Macaca mulatta: one gene and its partner. The protein of the gene in region 1 purifies or fractionates together with the protein of each later gene. This does not show direct contact. Links are inferred from orthologs where the notes say so. Each region holds a gene or a part of one and is shown on either strand. Other genes may lie near its edges.

Region 1 (4,463 bases):
GGAAGGCCGAGGCAGGCAGACTGCTTGAGGTCAGGAGTTCAAGACCAGCCTGGCCAACATGGTGAAACCCCATCTCTATTACAAACACAAAAATATGGCCAGGCGCAGTGGCTCACACCTGTAATCCCAGCACTTTGGGAGGCTAAGGCAGGCGGATCACCTGAGGTCAGGAGTTTGAGACCAGCCTGGCCAACATGGTGAAACCGTCTCTACTAAAAATACAAAAGTTAGCCAAGCATGTTGGTGGGTGCCTGTAATCCCAGCTACTAGGGAGGCTGAGAGAGGAGAATTGCTTGAACCTGGGAAGCAGAGGTTGCAGTGAGTGGAAATCACGCCATTGCACTCCAGCCTGGGCGACAGAGCAAGACTCCGTCTCAAAAATAAAATAAAAATATAAATACAAAAATTAGCCGGGCATGGTGGTGCATGCCTGTAATACCCGCTACTCAGGAGGCTGAGGTATGAGAATCACTTGAACCTGAGAGGCGAGGTTGCAGTGAGCCGAGATCGTGCCACTGCACTCCAGCCTGGTTGACAGAGTGAGACAAAATAAAGTAAAATAAAAGAAAAAGTCCTCTAGAATAGTGCTTTTCCTCTAATAACCATACTACAGCAAGCATCAGGTGCCAGCTGCTCTGTGCCGGGCAGTGAGGGACATAGATGTGTAACAATAACAAACACGTATTACCATTCTCTCTTTTCAGAAGAGGGGCCTAAGGGCCCAGAGAGGCAAATTCAACCACTTGCCAGGACACACAGAGCAGCAGGGGAATCATGCCTGGCACCTGGCACTGTGGGTGCTGCAGCGGCACAGAGAGGTGAAGTTCTGCGCCTGAGCTTAGTCAAAACCCTAACGGGCAGACCCAGATTATAAAACATTACACAAACAGCTATTCTAGAAATAGGACGCCTTGCGGGGCAGGGTGCGGGTTCCCCAGACTACAACAGCTATTCTAGAAATAGGACGCCTTGCGGGGCAGGGTGCGGGTTCCCCAGACTACAACACACACACACACACACACACACACACACACACACACACACACACAGAGCTATCCTAGGAACAGGACGCCTTGCGGGGCAGGGTGAGGGGGGCAGGGTGCGGGTCCCCCAGATTAGAACACACACACTGCGATCCTAGGAACAGGGCGCCTTGCGAGGCAGGGTGACGGTCCCGACGCTCCGCGGGGTGGGCAACCGCCTCCCCAGGCGCACTGGCAGGGGGACGGCCTCCCTAACAGAGAACCAGGCCTCGGCATGGGCTGGAGGGATGACAGAGCATGGCCGACTCGGCCAGCGGCCGGCGGTACGAGAGTCTGAACGACGTTGGAAGCAGGGGCAGGGACAGCGAGCAAGAGAGCACTGCACGGAGACGCCTCGGGCCCCGCCCATCAAGTTGCCGGCGCGCGGCCCCGCCCCTGCCCCTGCCGGCCTGACTGCGCGTGCGTGGCCCTGCCTACGGTCCCGCCCCCTCCCGAGACAGGCTGCGTGCGCACCGCCCTCCCGTCGTCCCAGTGCGCACGCGTGGCAGCGGCCCCGCCCCCGTTCCCCCGGCGCTCGGAGCCCGAGTCCGCGGGAAGATGGCGGCGCCACTCATCCCCCTCTCCCAGCAGGTACGGGCCGGGCGGGCCTGGGGGCGGCGCCGGGGTGCGGGGCGCGAGGCGAGCGGCGCGGCGAGGCTGAGGCGCGGGGAGACTCAGCTGGGCGGCGGCGGGGGCGGCTCGTGCTTGAAGGGTTTGCGGCCGGCGGGTGGGCAGGCGGCCCTGAAGGTGACAGGCCGGGGCCCGCGGCCTCCAGTGCCCGAGCGACCCTCGCGGGCACCAGCGAGGCCAGGAGATGCGCGGCGCGTGTCCTCTTCGCCCAGGGCCCGGACCCTGCCGCCGCCGAAGCTCCCAGGCCAGGGACCCGCGGGGGGCTAGGCTGCATCCCGGAGAGGTGGGCGAGGGGAACGAGCGTTTCTGTCGGCGCAGTGGCCCGGCGAGTCTTTGTCTCCCGCGGGTGCCGGCGCTCGGGCGGGCAGGGTCCCTGCTGGGTGCAGGGCAGAGCCTCGCCGGAGCCCGGACCCGTCAGCAACAGCGAGATCTCAGACTGATCCCTTGGGAGCTGCTTCCACCACCCCTGCACCCTGCACCGGGCGCAGATCGCACGTCTTTGGGCACCTCTCTGTGTCCTCAAATTCGCCTGATGCGCTTAAGAAGGGTCAGTATCGATAGCGCGACACAGACGTGCGAAAAAGAGTCATGCGTAGGCAGCTCTGCTATTTGGGAGGGACTTTCATTCATTCATTTTCTATCCATCCCTCAAATGTGCGTTGGGTCAGGTGCTGGGAGCGCTGCATTCATCCAGACAGACAAGGTCGCTGCTCTCCTGGAGGTGACACTCGTGGGAACTAGAAACTGCCTGTGTTCTGCTAATCACAGCTGCCTTTATTTGCTGAATACCTGTGTTGTGCAAAGCACCATATAAGCATTTTGCTAGAATGATCTAGCACAGCATAGTGATTAAGAGTGAGGACACAGGGTCAGATCATGTGTTCAAATCTTGGCTCCAGCCCCGATTTCTCTGTGCCTTTGGTTGAAGCTCTTAGCCTTTCCACCCATCAGTTGCTTCCTTTGGAAAATGGAGATATAAAAATGTGTTGGGATTATGTGAAAATTAAGCATGTGAAAAAGCACTTAGAACAGTGCCTATGCCAGATTTGGACCTTTGGGAGTAGAGACCACAGCAAGTAAGAATTCCAGACCCGAAGAGAGCTGACAGGCCAGTTGCATGCTTGCATGACTGGTTAGCTGATCCAAGGTGAGAGAAGTGCACAGCTAGCCAGTTTGCAACACTGTCACTAAATTAACAGTGCTAACACCCAGTGATTATTAATTAGCAAGTTCTTGTTACTGACATGAAAGTGCTCTGTAAACTGTTAAGTGTCCTACAGATAGTAGTTATTAATAGCTAAGTGCTACAGTTTAGAGTATGTAGTGGGGAGGTGGGGGGCGGGGAGCAGGGGGCGGGCAGGGACGGCAGGAGTCGGGGAAAATCACCTAAGATCATTTCATGAGAAACCTCTAAGCACTACCAGTTTGGGAGGCATGGATCTTTCTAAAACTTCCTGTCCAAATTTTCCTGTCCAAAAAAATTTTTTTTTTTTGAGGTGGAGTATTGCTCTGTCACCCAGGGTGAAGTGCAGTGGTGTGATGTCAGCCCACTGCAACCTCCGCCTCCCAAGTTCAAGTGATTCTCCTGTCTCAGCCTCCTGATAGCTGGGACTACAGGCACACCCGGCTAATTTTTGTATTTTTTTTAGTGGAGACGGGGTTTCACCATGTTGGCCAGGCTGGTCTCAAATTCCTGACCTCAAGTGATCCACCCGCCTTGGCCTCCCAAAATGGTGTGAGCCATTACGCCCGGCCAGGTCACTGACTCCTAAGCCTCTTCCTGTTCCTTTCCCTATACATTTGTTGAATGAAGGCTTGGCCTGGTTTTCTTCATTTGGAAATGTCAGCATTTCTCTACACCTGCTCTCGAGTGAAGATCTACACCATGGGTTACTGTTGACCCAGATGTGAGGCATGGCCCTCCCAGGCCCTTACTGTCTAGCTTAGGAGATCACTTGGGTTCACAGATAACTCTGGGGGAACCAAGGGTATGATTCCAAAATTTTTGATTGGGGGCAACAGGGAAGCACCCTGCAGCAGGCGGCTGTGATCTGGTTGGATTTTGGTGACAGAGCACACTTGGCAAGCAGACGGCCAGGTGAAGGTGAGCAAAGTGGATAACCCAGTGGGTAGCCTAGGGGAGGAGGGGTGTGTTTTCTCCACCCCCACGCCCGTCTGCACTTTTCCCATCAGCGTCTTTTTCAGCCTGCTCTGTACTCCCCGACATCATCTCAGAATCTCCTTCCTTGTATACTCTTTTCTGACCCTGAATATCAATATGAATTAGAAAGGTCTGCACTCCTGCCTCTTTAGTAGTGATTTTTTTTTTCCCATCAGCATCTCAGTTATTTGTGTTTCTCCCTGTCCCCCTGCTCAGCTCTCTTCTGTTTTCCAAAAAGCCTTCCATGGAAATGCGTCCAGATTTTCTCCCTCCTTATACTCCCCGAGGTTACCAGCGGCCCCTCCGTCCTTAAACCTGGTGCCCTGTGGCTGCAGCCGATCCTCCTCGAACCCTGCAACACTGGAGCCCATGGGATTTTACTCTTCATCCTCTCTCCTTTCAGTCTCTCCCTCTTGTCCCCTAATTTCAGCCTCCCCACCTGCATCTTATCTCTGTGCTCCCTCCCCTGAAACTTCTGTGCAGAGGACTCCAAACCTGCCTTCTGGAGTCCAGAAGGTGGCTCTCCTGCACCCCTGCCAGCCTGCTGGACTGTGGAATAGGCCACTTTCTTGTCATGCCCAAAGTGGGCTGGGCCATCCTACTTCCTACTTGCCCTCTCCCTCCCACTTCATCCCCCGCCACTGTGGGAG
Region 2 (4,494 bases), on another chromosome or scaffold:
ATTCCATTTTTGTCCTGCCGAGGATTTGGTACCTCCTTTAGAAGGAAAGAGGACTCAAGGTGAATTGCACCAGGTCTAGAACCCCAAAACACAAATGACATTGGTCAAAGGACGGGAGAAAAATGAAGACAAGCTATGTGCCTTACAGGAATAAAAAATAGGTTTTACCTCTCAGGCCAACTCTCTGGAGCACTATGTTGTGAAGGATTCTGGTGCTTTGACTCTCAAACATGGGCTCCAAAAGGGCACATCAGTTACCGGTGAAGTGTGCAATGCGAATGAGGCCATGTGCTCAAGACTGCTATCCTTGGCCTGGGTAGTTTGTTTGTAGATGGGGACAGATTGGCTGGTCCCCAGCAAGTGAGGGGCCTCCTAGACTGATACAAGAGTTAGGCCTCTCTGTGTCACTGAGGCTCAGGACCTGTTTGTCAGGTCTTGGTCAGGTTCTAATCGAAGAGTTAGGAAAAACACTGAGTGTGAGAGCGGGAAAAGCCTGTTTATCGTCATCGAAGTTTGGTAAATTCCTTGTGAGCTGGCTGGCCAGTTCAGATGGGCCTGGGTTTGGAGCCATTTCACCTTCACCTGCCTCAGCAGGTAAGGAATGAAAGGATGCCATGGGGTAATTTGATCTACACAGATCAAATCATGGGGATATGAGTTATGGACCCCGGACCAGCCCTCACCCTGCTTCTAAAAGTCAAAAGAAATCTTGGGTCTTGGCGGGGAGTGGTGGCTCACACCTGTAATCCCAGCACTTTGGGAGGACGAGGTGGGCGGATCACCTGAGGTCAGAAATTGGAGACCAGCCTGGCCAACACGGTGAAACCCATCTCTACTAAAAATACAAACAGCTGGGTGTGGTAGTGAGTGCCTGTAATCCCAGGTACTTGGAGGCTGAGGCAGAAGAATCGCTTGAACCTGGGAGGTGGAGGTTGCAGTGAGCACAGATCAATCGCACAGATCGCGCCACTGCACTCCAGCCTGGGCAATGGAGTGAGACTGTCTCAGGGAAAAAAAAAAAAAAAAAAAAATAGAAATCTTGGGTCTTATATCCAAAAATCTTGAGTCTTACATTTGGTTACTTTTTTTTTTTTTTAGACAGAGTTTTGCTCTTGTTGCCCAAGCTGGCGTGCAGTGGTGCAACCTCAGATCACTGCCTCTCAGGTTCCAGCGATTCTCTGCCTCACTCAGCCTCCCGAGTAGCTGGGACTGCAGGCGCCTGCCACCACGCCCGGCTAAATTTTGCATCTTAGTTTCACCACGTTGGTCAGGCTGGTCTCCAACTCCTGACCTCAGATGATCCAACCGCCTCGGTCTCCCAAAGTGCCGGGATTACAAGCGTGAGCCACTGGGCCCAGCCGACATTTGGTTACGTTCATTTGGTTACGTTCATACACTAACTCCTCCCTCACACAAATCAAAAGAAAGCCTTTCCCTTGACGGAGCTTCTTGTCAAGGGCAAGCCTTTGGGATACGGTGGCGACTTGAGTTGAAGCCTGGTCTTTTGTGAGGAGACCAGGAACCGGGAGGGGAGAAAAGAAACAAATTCTGAGTTTGACCTTGGCCTTTCCCTTGGCGAGGGGTGGGGAGGAAAGTTTAGCTTCGTCGTGCTAGGCTCTACGGGGACAGAGTCTTCCTACTGTGTGACTAGCGTAGAGGATGCTCCTTGTGGGCGCTCCGCGTGTGTTATGGAGGAGGGCGAGGAATGGTGAATGGATGATAGAGGGTATGGTTAAGTCCTCCAGGTCCCTGAGAAGGGTTCAAGAGGCCTGTAACAGACCCATGGGCAAGGGTGGGATCGACCTCCTTCCCACCTTCCACCCCCCAATTCCCAGAGAATTTGTGCCCCCACATCAGTGAAGAAAACTTCGGCGAGTGAGAAGGTTCCAGGGAGAGCCCCGTGGCGGGGTGCAACAGGGATGTGGCAGGCACTGCTTGGGACTTTCCAAAACACCGGGGTCTGCCGTGGCAGGAAAAGCACCACCCAAGCTCAACATGTCACCTCGGAGAGGAGGAGCCAGGTGGGTCTCCGCAGCTCCAGGAAGGGCTGCCGGGTCTGGGGCTTCGGGGCCTCCCCGAGGGCAGAGAGGAGCGCTTCGGACCCGACCGATTCGGAGCAGACTTTCAGGGTTCAGTGCCCCGGAACTCCGGGGGTGAGGAGCCACGCCCGGGCAGTTTCGGGCTCCGGAGGGTGGGGAGTCGGTGCCCGGCAGCGGGCGGGCCGTCAGCTGCCCGGCCCGGCGCCTACCTCCCCGCCCCCCGGCTTCCTGCGGAGGCCGCGGCCGCCATGTTGTTGTGGGGCTGAGGCGGCGCCCGCGGAGCCCTGAGCGGCCGTGACAGGCTACGCAACAGGTTCGCTGGCGGCGGCCTGACGACCAAGCCGGCTGCAGCGGCGGCGACGGCGGCAGAGCAGGGTCTCCCGGCGGCTGCCCGCGCCCAGACTGCCGGTGCTGAGGAGCGCGGAGTCGTGCTGTGACGTGCGGGAGGCGCGGCGAGGGCGCCAGGTGGGTGAAGCCGCTAGCGGGGCTGCCGGAAGGCGCGGGGCAGGTGCGGGCGCCGCGCCCGCTGCCGGGAGGCTCCCCCGGCCGGGCTGAGGCGGCTGCGCGCTCCGCACGACGGGGACGGGTCCTCGGGAGCACGGGCGGCCCCCGAGCTAGGCCCCTGGCGGGCTCGGCCGTGCCGGGCGGAAACCTGCGGCCCCGGGTTCCTTCCCCTGCCGCCCGGCCGGGGGGGACGCCGAGGGGGCCTGGGCTGGGCTACCCCTTCCTTGCGGCCGAGCCCGGGTCCCCGACCGCGGCCTCGTCTGGCAGGTGGCGGACGCCGGCAAGGGTCGGGGGGCGGCGTGGCCCTCTCACTTTCGGGGTGCGAGCAGAAGAGAGCTCTGGGGGCACCCGCACGCCTCCTCCGGGACCCATTTTATTTTCGCGGAGTTGGTTTTCCTTCCTGGCAAGGGTTGGTGCGGAATGTCAGGTGAGCCGCATCCCAGTGCGTCAAAGTAGCCCGAGTCACGAGAGGACAGTGGGCGGATGCTTGGCGTCCACCGCTCGCGTTCCTCCGGAGTTGGAAATGTTAAATTTACCTTCAGCGTTATTGACTTCCAGAATATACAGGAAGCACCGAGAGATGTAATCTCTCAGGCCAGATAAAGTTTATTTATTTATTTATTTTTTTAAAAAGACGTCTGCATGTGCATAGTGAGTGGGTAAACCGAGGCTGAAACTGCAGATGGCTTTGCATCCTGTAGAAAGATGCTCCATTTGGATTTATTAATTATGCGCTTTGTCGCTCCAGAATTACCAATGGCAAGTGTGCTTTATTTGAAACTTGTGTTAATACCGAAATAGGAATATGTTTTGATGAAGCCAACCCCGTTATGATAGGAATTAAGGTTAGCACAGAAATGACTTGCTTTGCTCTGTGCTTCTAGTTTGTTTCACAGTGTTTGCTTGCTTACTCAGGAATAGGCAAGGTGTGACTTGAAATTTTACGTTGTTAGCTCAGTTTAGGTAGCATAAGCTCTTGTAGGTTAAAGCTTCTTAAGCATTTCGAAAAATTGCCTCTCTCCCTGTGCTGGTGTGCTATGTTGTTAATCAGTGGTAAAACCTAAAAGCTACCTAGAAACATCGCATAAAACATTTACACGAATTAGTAATGACTTCCTTCAAAATTTAAAGATATTGACAACTCTGATGTGTTTACCTTGAGCTTTTTTTTGGTCCGTGCCTGTCAGCCTCTTGTAATTACAAAAGTAAATAAAGTGGATGTATTTGATGTTTTTGAAAACGTGGAAAAAATGTTCATTGCAGCTATTTTGATGTAGTATTAATAAGCAGTTGAAAAGCTTGCATTTTTTCTCCCTTCCATGTATTGATAACTATTCCCTGTGCCCACCTTTATAATGAAAGGTAAACTCGTCCGAGAAAACTTGACCTGTACAGAATTATTAAGCAGGAAGGTACCATTTTTCAATACCTCTCAAGGCTAAAATCTTGCTCTCTCCTGAATATGAGGAGGTGTATTAGGCATGTTCTGGGGATTGGATTAATAGTGTTAAAAAATTTGTATTTTCACAAAAATAGCACGTACCCGTCACCCAAACTCAGCAGCTTTCAAGAAGCTTTTTTTTTTTTCTTTCTTATTTTAAAAAATCATCTAACCTTATGTAGTTAGTGTATCTTTTTTAAAGAGTGGGAAATTTCGTATGTAACCTTAGGATTTTTAGTTTTAATGTAGAGTTTCACAAATTTCCATCTTTAGTAAGACAAAAGGATCACATATTGGCTGTCTCCTTCAACTATGCTTTGTTCAGTATAAAATACGTTTACCATGGTTGTCATTTATCGAGCACGTAACTGCATGTTAGACTCTATGCTAAGTGTTTTACATAATCATTTAAAGCTTACTAAGGCCCTAGGAGTAATTATTATCCTCCCATCAAAAAGATAAGTGAAATGTTAACCTGAAGTTTGACTACTTTAGGTCTCTGAGCTAGTA

What was found. The genes of interacting proteins can lie anywhere in the genome.
Region 2: the proteins of EPS15L1 (region 1) and ITSN2 purify together in Homo sapiens (affinity purification with mass spectrometry; 5 studies listed by BioGRID and IntAct, with this or other methods). This does not show direct contact. The link is inferred for Macaca mulatta from reciprocal best matches to the Homo sapiens genes EPS15L1 and ITSN2.

The regions. Positions count from the first base shown.
Region 1 is NC_133424.1:16,958,573-16,963,035, reverse strand, and holds the start of EPS15L1 (epidermal growth factor receptor substrate 15-like 1), read left to right. Parts: upstream 1-1,555; 5' UTR 1,556-1,580; coding exon 1,581-1,613; intron 1,614-4,463.
Region 2 is NC_133418.1:100,661,143-100,665,636, forward strand, and holds the start of ITSN2 (intersectin-2), read left to right. Parts: upstream 1-1,446; 5' UTR 1,447-2,021; intron 2,022-2,382; exon of another isoform or gene 2,383-2,970; intron 2,971-4,494.